2 linked regions of the Lepisosteus oculatus genome follow. The main gene of each other region encodes a partner of the protein of the gene in region 2 in a complex. Links are inferred from orthologs where the notes say so. Each region holds a gene or a part of one and is shown on either strand. Other genes may lie near its edges.

The links. Proteins that work in one complex are often made in the same cells at the same time.
Region 1: snrnp200 (region 2) and scnm1 share a complex: the UniProt entries of both Homo sapiens proteins name them as parts of the minor spliceosome. The link is inferred for Lepisosteus oculatus from reciprocal best matches to the Homo sapiens genes SNRNP200 and SCNM1.

What each region holds. Positions count from the first base shown.
Region 1 is NC_090722.1:5,083,193-5,093,061, forward strand, and holds scnm1 (sodium channel modifier 1), read right to left. Parts: upstream 4,902-9,869; 5' UTR 4,830-4,901; coding exon 4,779-4,829; intron 4,514-4,778; coding exon 4,443-4,513; intron 4,125-4,442; coding exon 4,036-4,124; intron 3,476-4,035; coding exon 3,378-3,475; intron 2,661-3,377; coding exon 2,560-2,660; intron 2,360-2,559; coding exon 2,208-2,359; intron 1,921-2,207; coding exon 1,785-1,920; intron 1,452-1,784; coding exon 1,352-1,451; 3' UTR 1,110-1,351; downstream 1-1,109. Other genes in the region: lysmd1 (lysM and putative peptidoglycan-binding domain-containing protein 1), read left to right, coding at 6,220-6,399, 6,580-6,911, 8,330-8,510. UniProt on the Homo sapiens protein: As a component of the minor spliceosome, involved in the splicing of U12-type introns in pre-mRNAs. Plays a role in the regulation of primary cilia length and Hedgehog signaling.
Region 2 is NC_090697.1:70,221,866-70,232,360, forward strand, and holds the start of snrnp200 (U5 small nuclear ribonucleoprotein 200 kDa helicase), read right to left. Parts: upstream 3,930-10,495; 5' UTR 3,697-3,929; coding exon 3,652-3,696; intron 3,005-3,651; coding exon 2,841-3,004; intron 2,225-2,840; coding exon 2,053-2,224; intron 1,693-2,052; coding exon 1,500-1,692; intron 1,176-1,499; coding exon 1,120-1,175; intron 435-1,119; coding exon 336-434; intron 1-335. UniProt on the Homo sapiens protein: Catalyzes the ATP-dependent unwinding of U4/U6 RNA duplices, an essential step in the assembly of a catalytically active spliceosome. Plays a role in pre-mRNA splicing as a core component of precatalytic, catalytic and postcatalytic spliceosomal complexes.

The DNA of each region.
Region 1 (9,869 bases), on a different chromosome or scaffold from region 2:
AGTGGCAGGTGGCTTTTATGTCATTTCTGCACGGGGTGATTCAGCCCATGCAGGAATGGTGTCGGGGTCTGTTCTCCACCTGTGTTATTTATACCTTCAGACCCGGGTGGCAGGGTGACTGTATCCCGCCGGGATTGGGTTACAGAGTGCTCAAAATACATGCAGTTTTTAAGGGGAGCTGGGAAGTGTGTGTGTGGGGGGGGGTGAGTTTGAGACCAGTCACAGAGGCTGATTTACGTCGCTGAACTCGGCGACAGCTGCTGCACTCTTAGGATTCTGCTGCTCCGAGAAAGTCCCCAGATGCCTCTGACAGCCGACTCCACTTTCCTTTAATCCACCAAGGCCAGAAGTGAGACCGGGGCCTGAATTAGGAGAAGACTCGCTGGCAGGGGGTTGTGTTTGGTTGCGGGGAGGGGCTATGCTATAGGAGCTGGCCTCCTGGATCGGTCTTGGGAAGGGGAGTTGCGCTGTGATGCTGTGCTCAAACCTTTTTAGGTTTTGGACCCCCGAAGCTTTCCCAGCTGTGACAGTTGTTTGTCAGCGGGGAAGCCTGTGTTCGGAAGCCATTCCCCCCCCCATACGAGGAGCAAAGACCAACTAGAGCTGCTCCCCTTTCCCTGAGCACACTAAGACCGGTTCTTGACCCCTGACCTCGGAGATGCCCCCCCCAACCGCTCGCCTGATGTGCACGGATATGGACAACACATGGCAATAGACTAAGATGAAAATTTACATGGGTTGAATTAAGATTTGAGTAGTGGGATTGTGAATACGGGTACATGTTTGAGCCAAAAGGATTATCCTGGGATTATCTGGGCAGGATGCAGGAACTGGATCTCTTTAGTCTGGGCTCAGCGTGTTCCTCAGCTCGGGCAGAAACGCACAGCTGCTGTGATGGAGACAAGCAGCTCCTCTCAGTCCTGCTGCTGCTGCTGCTCTGGCATGTTGATGCAGAAGCAGAGGTCAGTTTTCAAGAGCCCAACGTTTGAACAGCGGGTTATTTATATTCACGAGATGCATTTGTGAACCTTCAGGTGGCTACACATCACACCATTTGAATTTCTCTTACAACAGCATCAGCAGTTATGCATCAGTGGGGGGAAAACAGCTTCTCTTTCTGATTTTAATAGGCATAAGTTACAAAATGACAAAAAAGATTGACAACATCTTAAGTTCTCCCCAGAGAGCGTGTGAGAGATCTGACCATTAAAAGGTCTTCAATCACTTCTTTATAATTACATTTTGTCCTCCACCTACAGCAGTTCATGCTTTTGCCGTTCAAAAATGGCGTCGCTGTACAAATGTTCTCTGAAACAGTTCAAATGCTCTTCCTGTTCTGGGACAGGTGGGGTCAGGAGGGGGAGAGGGTGGGGGGCTGGTCCTCGTCGGAGTCGAATTCCACGTTCTCATCCTTCACCCAGTTTCCACTTCGGTCCTGCAGCCACCCGGAGCTGCAAGGAAGGACAGACAGAGGAAGGAGAGGCAGGCTGACACCTGGTGGGGAAACGGAGAACTGCAGCTTTCGGGGTCATTCACAGCAATGGCGTTAGATGCGTTAAGTAAGTTACGAAGACGGCAGGCATTCGGGGGTCGCTGTACCAGTGGGAGGATCTTCTTCTCCAGCCCCATTGCCTTGCCATCCGCTTTGACGTTTCCCCCCTCGCTCTTCTTTTGCAGGATGAGTAAGTCAGTGTCCGGGAAATGATACCGGCCAAGGGCCCGGAAAATAGGGCGGATGCCTTTTCTAGGCCACCTCCTGTAGGTTCGCACAAGTGGAAGGTTACCTTTTCAGCCTGAGGTAGTGCTCCATCTCTTGGCGCCTCTGTGCCGCCCCGGGATCTGGCTCGGAAGCCGCCGCAGGCCGGGACTTCTTTCTCGTGCTCTCCTTCGCTCGCTCGGGGACGCCCTCTCTCGGGATCTCTGGGGAAGGTAAGAGAGCAGGGAGTTACAGCAGGGCCCTGTAATAGTGTGTAATAGCGTGAAGCAGGGCCGAACACAATAAGATTTCAAATTAGGCTTTGTATTTGCCTTATGATGTAAACTTATCTTTCAGGTCTTAGAAGGCCATGAGAGTAGCCATAAACTATATCCGGTGCCTTACAGAGATGTGCTATCATAGGAACGCAGACAGGAAACGCATATGCTACATTTAAAACTGCCATTCTTTCAGGTGAATATGTTTACGAGCTATGCACATGATTGAGCACCTAGTGCACTGTTGCTATGGTGTCCAGGAAGTGAGGTCACTGGTGTGGTGTCAGCCGTTGATGTCCCCCCTGACTGAGCTTGCAACATTTGGTTCCTGGGAACAGGGGTCCTGCTGGGTGAGGGACAGCTGGAGTTTGATTCAGACCTGCTGCTGTAAGAAAAACACACATTTCTCTCTGAGCTGTTTGGCAAGAGCTCAAATGAAAGCCAAGGAGAAGCCTAGTATTTTTGCAATGCATTTTAATGTATACTTCATACTTCAAATGAAAACCCTTCCACAGCAGGGCAGACAGGGCTCCAAGCTTTCTGACCATTTTATTGTTGAAGGTTTTTACAGACAATCCCAGTTACCTTCTCTTCTGGTGGCAGCTGTTGTAGGGGGTGGACTTCAGCAAGGCATGATGGGTAATCTTGCGTGTCTGGGCCAGCAGAGGAGCTGGACCAGCTGTCTCCTTTAGGGCAACGACAAGGCAAGAGGAGAAGAGAAACGTAAACTCATCGTCCTCCAGAGTCAACGTACCTGTTCAGGCATGGAGGTTCGTACGCCTGACAGCTGCACGACCTTGCTCAGGCGAAGGGGCTTGGACTGGTCCTGGAGTCAAGTCCCCAGCTAAGGGAAGAGGACCGACATTTCAGTCGCGGAAGTCTCGTAGTTGTGAACAATCAGCCTGGGGCACTTGCAGTATAAAACACTTCTAGGGTTCTGTGACTCTCTATAGCAGCCAGCCAGGGCCTTCCCTTACTGCGCCCCAGAGCTCTGGAGCTCCTTCCCCAAGCATCCCAGAGTCCTCTTCCCCGAGCACTTCCAAATCCAGACTCAAAATCTTCTTCCCCGGAAAGCTGATTGTTTTCTATTTAATCGGCATCTGTGTCTGCTCCTTGCACCTTCTCCTGCTAATCCCTTGTGCTTCTTCTTGTTACTTCTGTAATCTCCTGTCTTTTACTGCTCTCTTTTGTTTGAACTCTTCTTTTCCTGTAAGGAGTTCTGAGCAGCCTACTTTTAAACGCGCTCTATAAAACAGTGTTTATCATGATGATAATAAGTAGCAGAAAATGACATATGAATAGGATTCTGGTTGTTCTTCTATCCTACAGCTTCAGTTAAAGGGGGACTAAGGATATGTGAGACTTCCAGGTGGTCGTCTGATTACACAGCAGCTTGAGCTCACCTGCCTGCCCGCTTCCTCCTGGCGCACGTAGGCCAGGTGGCGCCGCTTCTCGATCTCGTTCTGCAGCTCCCGCTTCTTCCTGTAGGACCACTGGAGCCCTGCGGAGACACGGGGCAGGAGACGCGTCCCTCAGAGCGCCTGGGCCACAGGACCCCCCTGCGCTGGGGGGGAGGAGCCCCCCGCAATTTAAGCTCTTCAATAAGGCTTCTTGACTTGAAATGGGGGTGGAGGGGGTCATGGCTCACCAGGGTTTTCCCAGGCGACCTCATCAGCACTCACTCGCTGGAATAATAATAATAATAATAATAATAATAATAATAATAGTCCTGGCGCTTCTATAGCGCTTTTCTGGACACTCCACTCAAAGCACTTTACAGGTAATGGGGATCCCCTCCACCACCAGCAGTGTGCAGCCCCACCTGGATGCTGCGCCAGTCCGCCCCCCACACACCAGCTCTCAGTGGGGAGGAGAGCTGAGTGATGAAGCCAGTTCAGAGAGGGAGGTCATGAGGGTTAAAGGCCAGGGGGGAAATTTGGCCAGGACACCAGGATTAACATCCCTAGTCTTCTAGAGAAACGATCTCTCCCGGGTCAGCTCCCAGACTGGAGTGCAGTCCTGCATGCGGCCGGTACCCGGTCTGGAACAGGCGAGACCTACCCTCCAGGTGTCTCTTCCCTTTCCTGTGGACGGCCAGCATGTCCACGGTGTCGAACACGGGCCGGGACGAGCACACTAAACAGGCGTACCTGCGGAGGAGAGCACAGGGGCGGAGAGGGAGGGCGCCTAGAGGCTAGATTCCCGATCCCATACTGCCTTGAAGGGAGAGATAAAGGAGTCTTCATCTGCAGTGTATCATCTTCCAAACAATAAATGCATTCATTCTTTGGGGGGCGGGGGTCTGAGGTAATTGCAAGCATCAATTTGATGCCACAGCCCAGAAGTTTCAGATGGCTTTATAGCCAGTGTGGAAAACACATCCTACATCGACTTGGACACATTTTAGGCTGAGCCGTGGGGGGGGGGGGTAATTTGCTTAGGGCGGCGCTATGCAAAGGTGGGATTACCTTCCGTTCTTCATCAGGACGGCCTCGTCCTCGGGAATGAAGTTGGACAGGAGATCAGCGACGCGTCGTTTCTGCCAGTGAGAAGAGAGGCTCAATGGGAATGAACCAGCCTGCCTAATTGAAAGGGCCTTTCAGATGAATCCCTGAATTACACATCTCTTCATCAAGACGCAAAAGCAGGGAAAGACACTCTGGGCACAAAGTTAAGATCCCCTTTAGAGCTACTTTTCGGAGAGAAATAGCTAGCTTCGTTCAGCTGCACCTTTACTATGTTTGCATCGGCCTTTTCGAAAGCACAAGTAGAAAACACTGGAAATATTAAATAACAAAACATACCTTGAGGACATTCAGTTGACTAGCGTCATCCCCTTCCCTTTTAAAAGACATTATTACAAGAACACCAGAAAAGTACTCAGCCTTGCTTTTCGTTCATCGGACAAACATCACTTCCGCCAGCTGAATGATGGGACTTGTAGTTTTTCAAGTGTTAATGGCTATCGAGTGGGTGCTGGGAGTCCTACTTATTTGTGAAACCTCTGACTGGGACAGCATAAATACAACTGCAAGTCTTGTTATTGTAAAAGTAATAATTAATTAATGCAAATTATGGGGCGAGGGATGTACCCTACTTATAGAATCGTCCCGCTTGTTTCTCTATGCACACTCCAGTTCCCATGGGACTGTGGGGCCTCGCCTTTCCCAACATTCCTAGCTTACACGCCCAATAGAACTATGGAAATTGTAGTTTTTTAAGTCATGTCTATCTCGTTGTTCCAACGACTCTCCGAATTAGGCAGAACTACAACTCCTAGGGTACTTTCATTTCGAGTACGATTGTATGTAGTAAAAAGCTTGGCGTTGAGGACGTTATGTTATAATTTAAGGTTTCCGTCACTATGATGAAACGGGTTTTTTAAACAAAATGCGCTACAAAAAACACGGGAAAGACAGTGACAAGAAAATGCACACGCGAGAATGTTCAACGAACAGAAACAGAAAACGTGTTCGAGTAACTCATTTTTAGACTTGCTTTGGTACTGATATTTTATTTTTGACAGTTCCAGGGACCTCGTTCGCGATTGTTACGGGTTCTATTTCAGGCGTTTTAATTTAGAGGAATTTATAGCTAGACGCATAAATAACAGGTACGTTGTATTTATTTTAGCCACAGTACAAGTAGCTTTTACTCCAGCGTCGATACACTGTACTGTACATCCGCTCGAGGGATGGATCTGCGGGATAAAAACAGATCAGAAACGCTTAGGAAACAACCCTGCACAATCGAAGAACCTTGTGTTTAGCTAACTGGGTGACGGTTGCTAGCGCTTAGCTAGTCTGCATAAAACAGACCCGTCCAGTGAAACCGGTACCCCAAGTTTCTCTGTTCGGTCCCGCGGACGTCTCTTTAATCAAATTAAAGCCTGGTGCTTTTCGTCCTGCAAACCGCGAGCCACTGGGGGTCTTAAACCGTACTTCGCATGCGAAGGCTTTCCTGTAGTTCCGATCTCACACACTTCTCTCAAAAAATCTCCCGCTGTTGAGTCTGTGTGTGATGCCGAGCCTCCCAAACATTTTAGAAATTCGTAACCGGACGTTTTGTGCTCTCAAGAGAAGTATCTTCACACGCTGTTGATGGGCGCAGGGAGGTCCACTGACCTATACAGCATTTGAGCTTGAAAGGGTCCGGGGACTCTTTCGATGGAGCCTCATCCGGAGACCACCGAACTGGACTAAGACGAAAAACAGAGGGGGCACAAGGGCGACATCTTCATCGGCGATGTCTTCGGGACGGCTCCCTGCTTCTGCCGGGGGCGAGGCGCTCCTCTCCGGGAGCCGGACCCGTTCCTACGGCAGCCTGGTGCATTCAACCCGGTCGCCGGTGCGAGAGAGGCGGGTGGAGCACCAGGTGCAGCCCGGAGAGACGCTTCAGGGACTGGCGCTGAAGTACGGGGTGACGGTGAGTGCCACCTGGGGGTTGGTTTCTGAGATTCGCCTGAGCAGGAGAGTTCATGAGGTCATGTAACTTGGGCTCTGCGAAACTTTTGTGGCTCTTTTCGCGAAATATTTTCCCTCACTCGCATGAATAAATTCCTGATTCAAAGATTGTTTTGTGGTGTGTGTGTTTTTTTTTTTGCAGATGGAGCAAATCAAGAGAGCCAATAGGCTGTACACCAACGACTCCATATTCCTGAAGAAGTCTCTCTCGATCCCGGTGCTGACGGACCTGGAGCCTCCGGGGGGCGGGGCGGGGCCGGCGGGCGAGGGGACGAGCCAATCGCCGGCCGGGGAGCGCGGAGAGGACCTGAAGGAGAACGGCGCGTCCGCCAATCAGACGAAAGGCGAGCCGGAGGTGCCCGGCACTGGGGTGAACTCGGACCTGTCGGCCAGGGACTTCCTGGAGAGGATGGACTGCATGATCAGCCAGTCCAAACAGGCAGCTGTGAGGAAGATGCGGGAGGGAGAGAAGGGGTGAGTGCCGGCCGACTGGACAGCTGGGTGTCCCATGACGCTTCATTTAATTACAGTGGACGAATGATGCAGGCACAGTTCTTTCAAAGTGAATATCCATTCATCCATTTTTTTTTTAACCGCTCGATTTTTCCTTGCAAGAGGCTGGGTTGGGGGGGAGGGGGGGAGCTGGTGACTGTCCCGGCATTCAGTGGGTGCAAGGCGGGGTACCCCCTGGATGGGACGCCAGTCCGTCACAGGGCAGGCAGACTCACACCAGGGCCGATTTTCCCACAAGGGAATTAATCCACCAGGAAACCCATCTGAACACAGAGAGAACATACAAACTCCACATAGACAGCACCCGAAGTCAGGAATTGAACCCAGGGCCCCAGTTCTGCAATTTAGCAATTGAACATTTTTAATCAAGACCTGGATGCTTAAAACAAATTTTACGGGTGACAAGCACAGAATTGTTAACTTGGTGAAAGTACTGTAAGTCGCCATGTTGTCGCAGACTCCTGGTCTCACCACAGAGTCTGTGCAACATGTTGGCAGCCCTTCCTGCTCACTAGTCCCTGTAATGACTAGTACGCTGTGATGTACGAGCGAATAAGTACAGACTGTGCTGCAGACATTTCACTGCTGAAATGTTCCAACGAGATCTGCATGCAGAGTTAACAAGTAGTATTTGTAGCATAACCTTCTCGAAGGCGAGAGCCATATTTCTATTGGATTAAAGGAGATTGTTTTCACAAGCCTGCTTGTTTACAGTGTAATAGGGCCTTTTCACCTTACTGGAAGTTTTGTTGCCTCATTCTCAATCGCAGGACATGGCACTGCGCATACCTGGATCATTTTGTCTATTTTGTGGTGTAAATTGGAGGTTTAATACATTACTGTGTATATTTTGCTTTCATTGTGGTTTGAAATGCCCTCATCAATGCTGATTCTTCCGAACCCCGAAATATAAAAATGGCGCTGCAGCTCCCCTTTAAATAACCTTGCTTTAGCATGTACAGTAAGTGACGTTTAGGTAAATGCATTGCACCTTCTGAAACCTGAATTGGGCCTGAGTCCTGTGGGGCAGGAGTTTCTGTTTCCATTCCAGGGGTGGTGTGGTCATTTGTAGTGCTGCAGTAGACGTTAGAGTGAGCTGTGTTAATGCTCGACTGCCCGACAGACCCAGCAGAGGAAATACCCTGCGCCCCTGCTGGGGAGCCTTCCTCAGGGGTTCGCAGGCAACAGGCCGGAGTGCAGGTTGTGGGGTGCGACGAGAATTTATTTCCCTCTTTCAGGTTGTCAGAAGGATGTTATTGTTGGAAGCGGAGGGAGTCAGGAAGCAGAAGGAGACGACGAGGTGAAATGAGACCCCAAATAGACGCTGTCCCGGGGGCAGTCCTGCAGAGGATTTAATTCCCTCCCCTTTGCTTTCACAGCCTGGTGGGACTTGAGCCGGCCGGCCCCCGGAGAGCCTCGGCCAACCGCAGGGCCGAGCTCCGGAGCTCCGCCTCTTCTCCCAGGGTGCACCAGGGGGCCACGCTGGGCCCCGTCCCGCTCACCATCACCAAGCGCGCCAACGGGCTGAGGGACAGGGAGGACGAGATCTTCCAGCTCTGACGCCACCCCCGCCCCCCCCCCCCTCGCTCTTCTGTCGCCCCCCTCAGCACGGAGGTCCTGGGATACCGGTGCCGAGCGGATTTCTGACTTGTTTTTTGAGGGAAGGAGGGAAGGCTCACACTTGCATGAGCCCGGGTAGCTCGGCGGGCTAAACCGCTGTCTTGGATGCCCGAGATATGGGAAATAGAGAGCACAGGACTGAACCCCCCTCCAGCTTGGCAAAGACACACGACGAAGTGTGAAAGGAAGACGTTCGGAATAGATCAGCAGCAAACAAACACAACAGCAAACCAGCATGCCGCCTGACCCAGTCAGTCGTGCTGGAATCCTCCTTGTAAAAGTACATCAGAAAGACTCCTTGTAGGTTTTCTGTGTTGAAATAACTTTTCGACTTATTTCGTGACTTCTGTACTTCAGGTCAGATATGTTCTGTAGTTCAGGTGGGTAGCTGCATGCGTAGTCTGCAAAGGAACAAGTAATAGGTTTACTCCACGCTGAAAAGAGAAAAGAGAAAACGCAACGTTTCGGCTGTGGAGCCTTCTTCAGGTTGTCTCCCCGAAGACGCCTGAAGACCCTTCTTCAGGCCAACTGAAGAAGGCTTCACAGCCGAAACGTTGTGTTTTCTCTCTTCTCTTTTCAGCAGGGAATAAACCTCTTACTTGTTCCTTTGCAGATCTGTTCTGTGCTCTGCTGAGGCGATGCACTGATTTGTCAGCATGAATAACAGTTCGATGGCTATTGGCCGTCCTGCAGCCCTGCGGCCTCGCTCCCTGTCTGTGTCCTCGTGGGTCAGTACAGACCTGTGGCCAGAGCTGAAGCCTGTACAAGCCATTGAGCCAGATTCTTCAGCTCTGTGCTGCTTAAAGTAGCGTGTGGGTTGGTTTCGTTCCTGAGATGCAGGGTGTAAGATCACTTGCACTTCCTAGGATGGTGCAGGAGAACCGAACCGATCTCATTCATCTGTGCCCTGTCTGGGCTGGTTTGTGCTGTTGAAAGTAGCGACAGAGGTGCATTAATTCCGTGGATATCACACCTTCCTTCTTCCAGGAGGCGTGTGACTGTTGTTGCCATTGTAGGGGGGTGGTGAGTGACATCATACCCCCCAAAAAATAAGGTGCTGTGTTTCGAGAACGAAAGCACCTCAGATGCTACTTCCACTGGCAAAAACTGGCGCAGGCTGAGCGCTGCTGAATGCAGCGGGTTTCGTTGTTTGTGCTGTTTGTTTGGGGAGCTGTGTCATGTAACCGAGCTGTCGGGACGTCCCAAACCTGGATCCACTGGTCTGGGTCAGGTCCGGTCCAGTCTGAGGGACCCTCCTCCTGAGCCTGAGACGGTGCGCTTGAGCCCAGGAGGCTTGTG
Region 2 (10,495 bases):
CAAGACTATGAAACTACAAATCTTGAGTTTTGAAAGAAGAACGGTTCTGAGCATTAAGGGAATCCAGATGCTTGAAATATGGCTGAAAAATAAAAGCAGAAACGGCAAGTTTCCAGGTGTTTTCCAAGTTGAAACATTGAAATTTGACTTTTTTTACGCAAAGGAAAAGAGTATGTGATTAATTAAAAAAGGATGCAAAAATATTCTGATCTTGGATATAGTTTTTTTAAAACAAAATAAACTAAACAGGGAACAAGAAATAAGAATGAAAAAGAGACAGGAGATTCACTCAGAGGTAGAGAGGGAATAAGACAGGAGGAACTGGCAACACTTACATTGGCACTGAGAGTACAGCCCACATCGGCCTCCACCCCCTCGCTGTCTTCATCAGACACTTCATCTCGAACCTCCCCATACTGGTCCTCATCTCCCTCCTGCAACACACACAGCTGTCAGCACACTGACATACAGCTACACACATCGTAACTGTAAGCACATATACGACTTCTCCATTCGCTACGCCCCACACAAGAGCCGCAGAAAGGTCACAAACCAGAGTAGACCGGCCATTTGGCCCATCTAGTTCATTGGCTTGCTAGAGGCTAATTGACACCAGGAACGTATCCAAATGATTCTTGTAAAAAGCCAGTGTATAAGCTTTGACAATAAGGTTGAATTGCTTATTCCAGACCCTCAGCGCTGTAGAGGATTTTAAAAATGTCTTCGGCTTCTCTGACTTAAAAATAACAATTTTTAAGCCTTTCAGAGTAGGAAATTCCTTTGTGCCTTATAAAGTATCTTATGCTGGATTGATTCCAGAACAGGAGATCTGATCCAAGAACCAGGAAATATTCATTTTAACCAAATCTACCAATGTAATTTTTCACAAATATTTGAGATAATAGACAATCAAAAGTTCTACTCATTTTCACCCGCCACTCAGAATTCCCACTTAAATCTTGGGACACATGGCACCCTGGATATAAATTCCTCCAGGTCATATGCCATTTCAACTTTGAATTTTTCTGCCCATTTTGTACTCATTTGTATTGGGATTCTTGGGGGAGGGAAGCCTACAGCTCTTTATATTTGGTAAGGTTAGATGTCACATATACTCACCTCTTCATCAGACTCAAACTGTACATTGACACCATACGTTTCATCAATATTGTCATCTACAACACAAAAATGGTAACATGAAAGATTATCAGGAGAGAATGCACATACAATATTGTTCTGCGACACATCTTTCCTATCCAATTCCTATAAATGATAAATCCATTTAATTTTGTATTAATCCTAATCTAGTAAGCTTCAATACTGTAGGACTGGCACACACCTACAAATCATCAATCACTATTAAACAAAACAGGTGTTTTCACCCATTAAGATCAAGAACCAAATATAACAATGCAGGCTTAAATAAAATCCACAAGGCCGCAGCTCTCCAGGTTCTAGGCTAGCTGCCCCTGTGATAAAGTAACAGGTGGACTCTGTACCCATATTCTGGAGCTCCTTGTCTCCTCCGTAGTCGCTGATCTTCTTGCCCAGGTTGACCAGCACATGGTAACGCGTGTCGTCAGTGGGACCCAGCAGCTGCTCAATCTCCTTGCGTCGTTCCTTGTCTCTCATCTTCTCGTTCTTCAGCACAGCCAGCACCTCGTCGGCTGCCCCACACAAGATGTCTCTGGGCTTCAAGGACATTCAAAATGCCTGATCAGTCACAGGGAAGAAGCCTCCCTCATCTTGACATTTTGCTTTGAAAATGCTATTAACCCCCATCTCTTAATGTTCTAGTAAACACTCTTAAAAGCTATGTTACAACCCAATGTAACTTGTTAATATTCTGAGATGGTGCCAATCATGACAAAAATCACGATAAAGCAGTAATATATAAGTCATTAGGCAATAGGATGATAACATTTTGTGATGAAGCACATACACCACAACACACCTTGCAAACATACCACACTGTGTTGCAGAAAAAAACTTCCTAAAGCTTCCAGTAATGTGTCAAAACACCACAAGAGACTACTGAAACACGCCCCTCACCTGGTCTCCCAGGGCAGCCTGGATGAAGCTGAGAAGAACCTCATAGGTCTCCCTGGTCTCCTTGGTTTTGGGCTTGTAGACGATGCCCACCATCTCATCGATGCCCTCTGACAGCAGGGTGAAACCCTTCATCTTGTTGATGTCATGCCGGTCCTCATCTCTCTTCCTCCTCCTGCACGAAGAACAAGTGGGCACAGGGTCGTCAATCTCCCCTGAACCGCTCAGCCAGAGCCTCAGCAAACAGGATCCCACACTCTTCCATTAAAGTGGGCTTAAACACTGCAGGTGCCTCAAAGGTAACTCTGCACACGATCAGTCCCATTCTGTAAAACTACACACAAGGACTATGTAGTTCCAGTCCTTGAGGATTACAAGGCTAGCCAAACCTGTCTAGAGAGCCAGCATCACAAAAAGCATCCACTGATCTATTCCCATTTTACCACATGCACATACACGATTAAAAAAAACACACCAGCATTCAAAAGGTGTATATTTACACGTAGTAATGTACCCAATACTGAATTTTCTACATATCTTTATTGTATTTCCTTTACCAGGACATTTTATTTTCAAGTGTTTTTTCCAGGTCTACACGTTTCCAGGAAAAGCCTGCACCGGGAAATCTGGCTATATTATGCGGATGGCCATGTTCACAAACATTTGGCCACTATGCCATGTTTACACACCACATGCTCATAAAACAAAAAAACTCTTCAGGTGGCAAACACTAGTCCCAGGACAGCAAGGAAAGACTCTGAACTCGATCTATTAAACCCATATGGTCTTACTTGGCTCTTCTCTCCTCCAGCATCTGTGGCTTTGTCCTCTGGGACTTGTCCCCCATCTTGGTACCATCCAGCTTTCCCACAAGGGACAGAACCTCACCTGTGGGCTCATCGCGGCGAGTCCGGTCGATCAGAGACCGATCTGCTTGCAGTACAAGATTAGAGTTCTGTTCGGGAGAAAAAGAAAACATTCAGGCCACAGCTCTGTATGCATCATAATTTTAGACCAATACAAAGTACTCTGAACAGATGCTGCGTAAATATCAGTGATCAGATGAGGCCCTACTGGCTCCTTCACTAACTCTATACCTCCTCTCATTTCTTGCTTCCGACTCACCTATTGGGATCTAAACCAACAGCAATGTCAAAACTTGGAGACCCAAGGAATCTGTAGATATTCATTCTAGGTCAGCTCTTAATCCTAATCATAATTATTGGCTTAATTGGCCATTTAAACCTCCCCGGATCTTTGATTGCTGCAACTTCAAAGAAACCTGCTTAATACCAGAGCTTCTGAGGCTCTGGTACAAAATAAGAGGGGCTTATGTCAAAGCCAAAGTATGCAATGGAATAGCGCAAACTAAGCAACAACTCACCTTTGCTGCATACAAAGGTACACAGACCTCTTGTAAACAGAAAAATCAGCCCTACATTGGGAACTGAACAGTCCCATCTCACCCCACACTCGCGGCGTAGGGTTGCAAACGTTTCACTTTTTCCAGCTTGCAATGCAAAACTTACAGAACGCCACAAGCTCGAATACAACAAAAAGTTATAGTTACATTTGCACTGGCGCGCTGTTTGTGCTACTTACGGCTTTGTACTCGTACTGCAGGCTCCGAGCAGTTACATCCGCCATGGCTGATCCGGCGCTTCACACGCCGACCTCCCCGCTCAAGCCTACCTCGGCAGAAGAAAGATAAGATATCTGTTACGTCTGTAAACGATTTCGTTTTGTATCCAGGGATCTCCCTTACTTTTACGGCTACAGGATAACTGTTTAGAGTATTTAGGAATTAATTCTCAGCCCCCCTCTACTCTGATCACTTCCCTCGCGTTGGCTGTGCGTTTCAAAAACACACACGCCACCGGGCCCACTGCGCAGATCACTTCCGCTTCCGGGGCACGGTAAAAGTAACTTGTCATGTGGGGAGGCGGGAGGTCAGGAGTCCAAATACGAGGTGCTGGACTGTGCTACTGAAAAAAACAAATAGCGAGAATGTTGCAGTATAACATGAGATGCATATGTCTAGTATTGATTATGAATCGAAAACAGTAATTGCACTATTAAATTGAGGTGTGATTATGTTACTTACACGGTTTGGATCAGTACTTCTTTATTTTTGAAGTATAAATAAGATTTTAACAATCTGAAGATGTTTTAATTTGCTTGCAAATTATCCCTTTATCACCGGTTGTGAACGTAACATGATTTAAATGACATTTTTTATGAGAGTTGGAAAAGCCATACTGTGTCATGGGTAATTATTATGCTACTTTGGTCATTATTAATATTAATAATTATTATTAATCATGGTACTTTTTTGACTAATAATGTAACCTTTGTCCCAGGTTTCGAGGACTTTGAGCCAGGAAAGGTGCCCATGAGCTAAAGAAATATGAATATGTAACTTGAAAACTAGCTTTTTTCAGATTCTCGAGTGTTCCTTAATTACTGCAGGGCACCAAGACAGACTCATAGTATTTTAAAAATCCCTGTTGGAGCAATTGTTTGTTGTTACTCATAATTTTAATTTTGCTTGGCTTCTGTAGATTGATTATGTAACACCCTAATACAGTTAAGTCAATAATAAGATTTTAATTATAATATACAATAATCTTTCCTGCTACCGGGGTGATTTATCTGAAGATGTATCATTTGAGCAGACTGAAACAATGCATTTGTAAACAAGAGAGAATTTTTTTTTGTAAAATGCAAAAAAGAAAATGTTTAAATGTTTCTGAGTACAACTATTACAATGTCCTTGTAACTCCAAGATCATGAAGAATTGGTATACTGTTCTGTGTTTGTTGAGATCATTTGATGTAACTCCTTTTTGCACCACACAGTAATTTTCTGATCCCTCCTGTGATCTAAATAGCACCCTCATTGTTTTCATCCTCACCTGAAGCTCTTGCATCTCCATCAAGCGAGCGCCTGATTGCCTCTCTGTGCAATTGTTCCCTTAGTAGGTCTTAGCTAACAGAGATTTGCATACCTCATTCACAGAGTTCAGCCTTCATCCCCCTCATCTCCAATTTAAATTGAAATGCAAACTCATCTTATACAGAGAGAACCTGAACAAATACCGAAAGAGATATGAAGATGAATAGACAACTATTCTGTGAACAAAGAGCTAATAGTCAGGTGTGGTCACATTATTTTATTTTTTAAGAGGTTAATTCACAAGACCTTGATAGCATTCAAGCCTTTGATACGTATTGCAACTATGAAAAGGCCATGACAAACGGACTTTTTCCAATGCATCCATTTTCTAACAGCTTCTTCCAATCCAGGGTCGCAGGGGCGCCGCAGCCTCTCCAACAAGCAACAGGCGCAAGGCAGGGTACATCCTGCACAGGATGCCAGTCCATTGCAGGGCACACAGAGTCACACACTCCCACCAGGGCCAATTTTCCCAGAAGACAACCTACCACTCTTATTTTGGTTTGAGGGAGGAAACTGAAGCACCCAGAGAAAATCAATGCAAACACACAAACTCCACACAGATAGCACGCACCACTGTGCCACAGCTCTCGTCACAAAAGCATATTTTGTTACTTACAAACAACCACTATAAAATAACTATTTACATATGAAAGTCTTAACTTAAAAGTACTGTATACAAGGAGGAAAGAGATGATGGGTATTTCTTCCCTATATCTACACTATTGACATTTAAAGCACAGATATTGCAATCAATTTTAACAAGAGCAGTATGGGCCCACATCTACACCAGCAGGCCAGACTAACTACAATGGAGCTCACATTTGTCATAAGATTAGGGAAAAGAACCGTACAATTTAGGGGAGAAATGGAAAGGCAAAGCTTTTTAATACTTCTCCTGTCTGTTGTTTGTGACCGGAGACGATCGGCCAATAAAATTAAGAAAGCTTGGTTACAACCGTGATGTGCACATAAGCACAATAATTGAAACCATGTGATGAGTAGGACCTCTTACTTCTGCTATGTTTACAAAGGAATAAACTTAGGTCAGGTTCACACCTACAGTAGAAAAAAATAACAGCCCTTCCACATATCAACAAAATATGTTATAATATGCCTTTTACATTATAACAGAGCAAAGTGACAAAACAGTTTGGAGGCTGACACCAACTGTTTAAATCTGGAGTGGGTTCAAAGGAGTATCTAATACTGCAAAGGAACAAGTAAGGGTTAATTCCATGCTGAAAAGAAATGCCCGTACTAGTAATGTCATTTTAAAACACATAGGATTTGCTCTATGATTCTGTGGGATTATCTGTGGCTATTTTGGCTTCAAAGCTCATTTGCATTGCTAAATATTTCTCCAGGAATGATTAACACTATATTGGTAAGGCTTTCCAGTCTTTCTCTGTCTTTGTGGGTTGTTTCTAAGACATTAACTCTGACTTTTAAAATTCATTATAATGCAGCTCATACAGAAGTATTTAACCTGCATTCATATATGCATCTTAAATAATTCTCCATCCTCAAGCTATTGCATTCAGTAATTTTTCTTGTCCTTTGTCCAGTATGTTCTTATTTAGAAGAAAACAATTGTGAGATTAAAGCTATGTGGAGCCCTGAACCATATTGTATGCACTTTAAAAATATCTTATAACACAGTAATAACATTCTGTTCCTACAATGCATACACAGTAGGTTTCTGTGTCACAGGGTACTAAAGCAATGCATATAATAGGACATGTATACATCTTATAGAAATTCAGCATAGAATTTCACTTTTAGTTTGCTCTAAAAGTGCTGGAAAAACCTTACAGGACCAGGGACACTGTTAAGGAAATTTGGCATAGCTTAGTTAATCTTTTTATTCAGCCTAGAAGGAAACATAATACTGTAGAAGAGGAGCTGATTTTTTAAAACAGTTTATTTATTTTTTTCAATGTCGAAGAAGTTATTAAAATACACACAAAGACTGGGATTTGCACACAACTCATATACAAGAAAAGAGAAAAGAATCCAGTTAGGTTTTACAGCTTTTTGAGAACAGTTTTTTGCAGGAAAAATGTAGCTGAGAACTGACAGGTTATTTCGAGTGCATGCTTTTAATTAGCACAGGCAATCACATTTGCTGTGTGTGCTCCTTTTAAACAAATTCTTGACATAAAGTCAAACATAGCTTTGTCCCTCCTTGTCACCTTGTGTTATTCAGTAGTGCCCTTGTCAGTAGGCATATTGTAAGGGTGCTGATGCTCTTTGAAAGTGCCAGAAGGACAACCTTTAATACTGAAGTCATTACTTTTCAAAAGAGCAATGGAGTAAAAAAAACATCTCGTTTCCAACACTGCAACAGAAATACTCTGCTTTGCACTGACCACCTGCCTGTGTGTGAGGAGGAAGCGCTATAGACCCAAACTCTTGTCCAACTCACATCCGTGAGACCCACTGTGTCTTTGTCCTAATGAATCTTCCAGTTGCTGGGTTAACCATTTTCCAACTTTTAAAATGTGACAGATTTCAAGTGGCCTGTCAAATCACACACGTACGTTAAAAGCTCCGATATTTCGCATCATATTTTCTAATTGAAATCTTTTTTAAAATGTCTTAAAAATAACTTTAAATGAATCATTATCTGATTTAATGGCACCAGGATTGCTTTAAGGAAAAGCCAAGGGCAAAACAACAGAAGACCAGTGGCCTGGGTGTACTCTACCAGCCTATTGCAAATGCCAAACCACTTTGGACTTGTGTGTCGCCACACTCCCTACAGGCTCCAATGTAAAATTAACAACTACAGTTCCTTAAATAAGTTCCTTAAATATTCAAAGTGCTTTTCAAACAGGAGGAAACACTTTACCTCCACCACCGAAATACAGAAGCCAGCCACTTGCTTGACCTTCGGCAGCCACTATCCAACAGCTGTCTAACTACACAGCAGGTCGGGTGAAGATGTAAGAAATTTAAATTAGGTTTTTTTGGTGTTTTAGAATATGTTATCCCAGAGTGGAATTTATCCAGGACCTGCCTGGGATCTTCTAATGGTCAAGGAGGTAGGGATGTAGGAAGTATCATCTCATACATCTTATCAAATATCACTGATGTAGGTCATAACCGTAGAATGAACAAGACAGAATTATATATGTATGTTAATTTCTCAGTTTCATTAAGAATACATGAAAAAAATACACATTTATTCTAGGTTTAACTTAAAATGCCTAGGCATGATGAAACAAAGTAGTTGTAGTTGTGTGCCTAGGCATAATTTGTATTTTTATTGCCTGACTGGCAACCCAGAGAAAGGACATCTCACACCTCCAGAGGTTGTGTGCACCCCAAGTTATGAGCCACCGGTCTATACCATTCAAATAGCTTTTACACTGTAACATATCACTTAGTTGCAATACTATTTCGATATTCTTCACCATGCAAACATCTGACATAGTCTTGGCTTGCGAGAAATGGGGTCTTCGAAACAAACTACAGCGACCACATAGGTCTGCCTTTCCCACTTGTATTGCAACTGGAGCTTTGAAAGCGCTTATTTGTTTTTGGTACTGGTAATTTCTTATTGTCTGCGGAAATACTTGTGTTCTGTCTGGGCTCTGCACACTAACTGAATATTCATTAGAGATGAGGCTCTGTTTGACTTAGCTTTACAGCAGAACAAGAGCTCAGTCCGTTTTAAAAGTGCGCAACTCTTTCTAACTGGTGACTGGAGTGCAACTGACACCTTTTACTTATCTAGTTTTACAGATACGGGGTCACACGACTTTGTATTAAAAAAAAAAGCCGTTATGAAAATAACCTGTACATGTCGCAAATTGGACATTTCTGTACAAACCCTTAGCTAATGTTCGAAAAGGGGTCCACTTAAACCTAGACCTAGATTTAGATTTAGAGGGGACGATAAATAATTTCCTATAGATGGAAAATAATGCCCTTTCTTCTAGCACCTATTTTCTTGTGTCTGACAGGTCTTTGGGTTGATTTATCACAAGGGCGTTTAATCAGATCAAGTTTGATTTCGTTCTCGTAGTAGGTGAGTTATTTTAAGGCAAGCGGATGACGCCTCACGTTTTCTCACTCGTCTTCGTTGACACTCTTCTCTGAGTCTACAGTACCTGCAAAAACCGTGTTTGGGCCTGAACCTTCAGTCCTAAGAGAACTGACTCATTGCATACGCACACCTACAAGACAGACACGGGGGTCGTGTGTGTGTTTTAGAAAGGATGTATAAAAAAGCATATTAATTAGCTAATTAACCCCCCCACACCCACCCATCCTTGATCGGAAGCAACTCCTTGCCAAATTATTCCCCAAAGATGTCGCCCACTCGCACGGGCTCAGAGCACTGCCCACGTCATGCCAAAATATAACGGCCCATCTGATGACAGAGCGGGCCTTGGACCGGCGGCACAAAAGGTCCCATTGAGCCCGCGAAGAATGGATCGACTGTGCGGCCCCGGGAGCACGGGACTGTGCTGTCAGGTATAGGAGGCCGGGAGGACGATAAAACCCACTGTCTGTCCATGCAAATTAGACGGAGAAGTGCCGATATATAGCCACCGCCGCGCAAGAACAGACCTTATTGTTCAGAGCAGCACCTGCAAAAAACCCAAAACACAGCCCGCTGTCCGAGATGAGACTCCACATCGCTCTAGTCCTGGTCCTAGCTGTTGCCGGACTTAAAACGGGTAGGGACACTTCTATTTTTCTCTCACGAGTAAATTAAAAAAGACAAATACTTCATAGAACTGCTATGTCGGAATACCACATTCATTTTTTAGATGACCGAAGGAAATCAAACACTTTCTAAGAAGTTATGTACCGACCACTTTCTTTTAAGTTCACAGTACCATTTGTTTTAACGGAGCTCGTTTATTTGAGCCTTCCTCAGCTCTGGTAAATAGATTATTTTTGCAGCGGTATTATCATTAGGACGTCAGTTAATATTAGATTATGATTTTCCGTATAATTGTCTGTAAATTCTTGAATTGGGCATGCTGGGGCATTGCAACACTAATGTGATGCTTTGTTCGTAACTGAACAGGAGACCAGAAAGGAAGCGTGTACAGACAGACGCCTAACGAATTTATGGTACCATGCATCTGATATTGATTTAAAAAAATCTTAATAGTGCAGTACGTACAGTCTCTGAGAAAGTTAATTTATCAATAACATTTCTTCCGAGTGTATTCTGCAGTGTTAATATTTAAAGAAAGCTGTAGATCTTTAATGAAAGAGGTAAATGCTCTATTAAGAGGTATTTACAGTTAAATATTTAGAAAACAGTTCCTTTACCGGTGTCTCTCCTGTTGTTAAACTGTTCGATGTTTTTGTGCGGTTTTCATGTTTTGTTGATAGTGCTGATAGATTTCCAAGGGGTGACATTAATGTGGGAATAACATTTTCAATAGAAAATTCTGGGTTCTGGGTTCTTGGGGAGGTTGTAGGTTCCTACGGTATATATTCCAGATGAAACAATGCTGTTCTA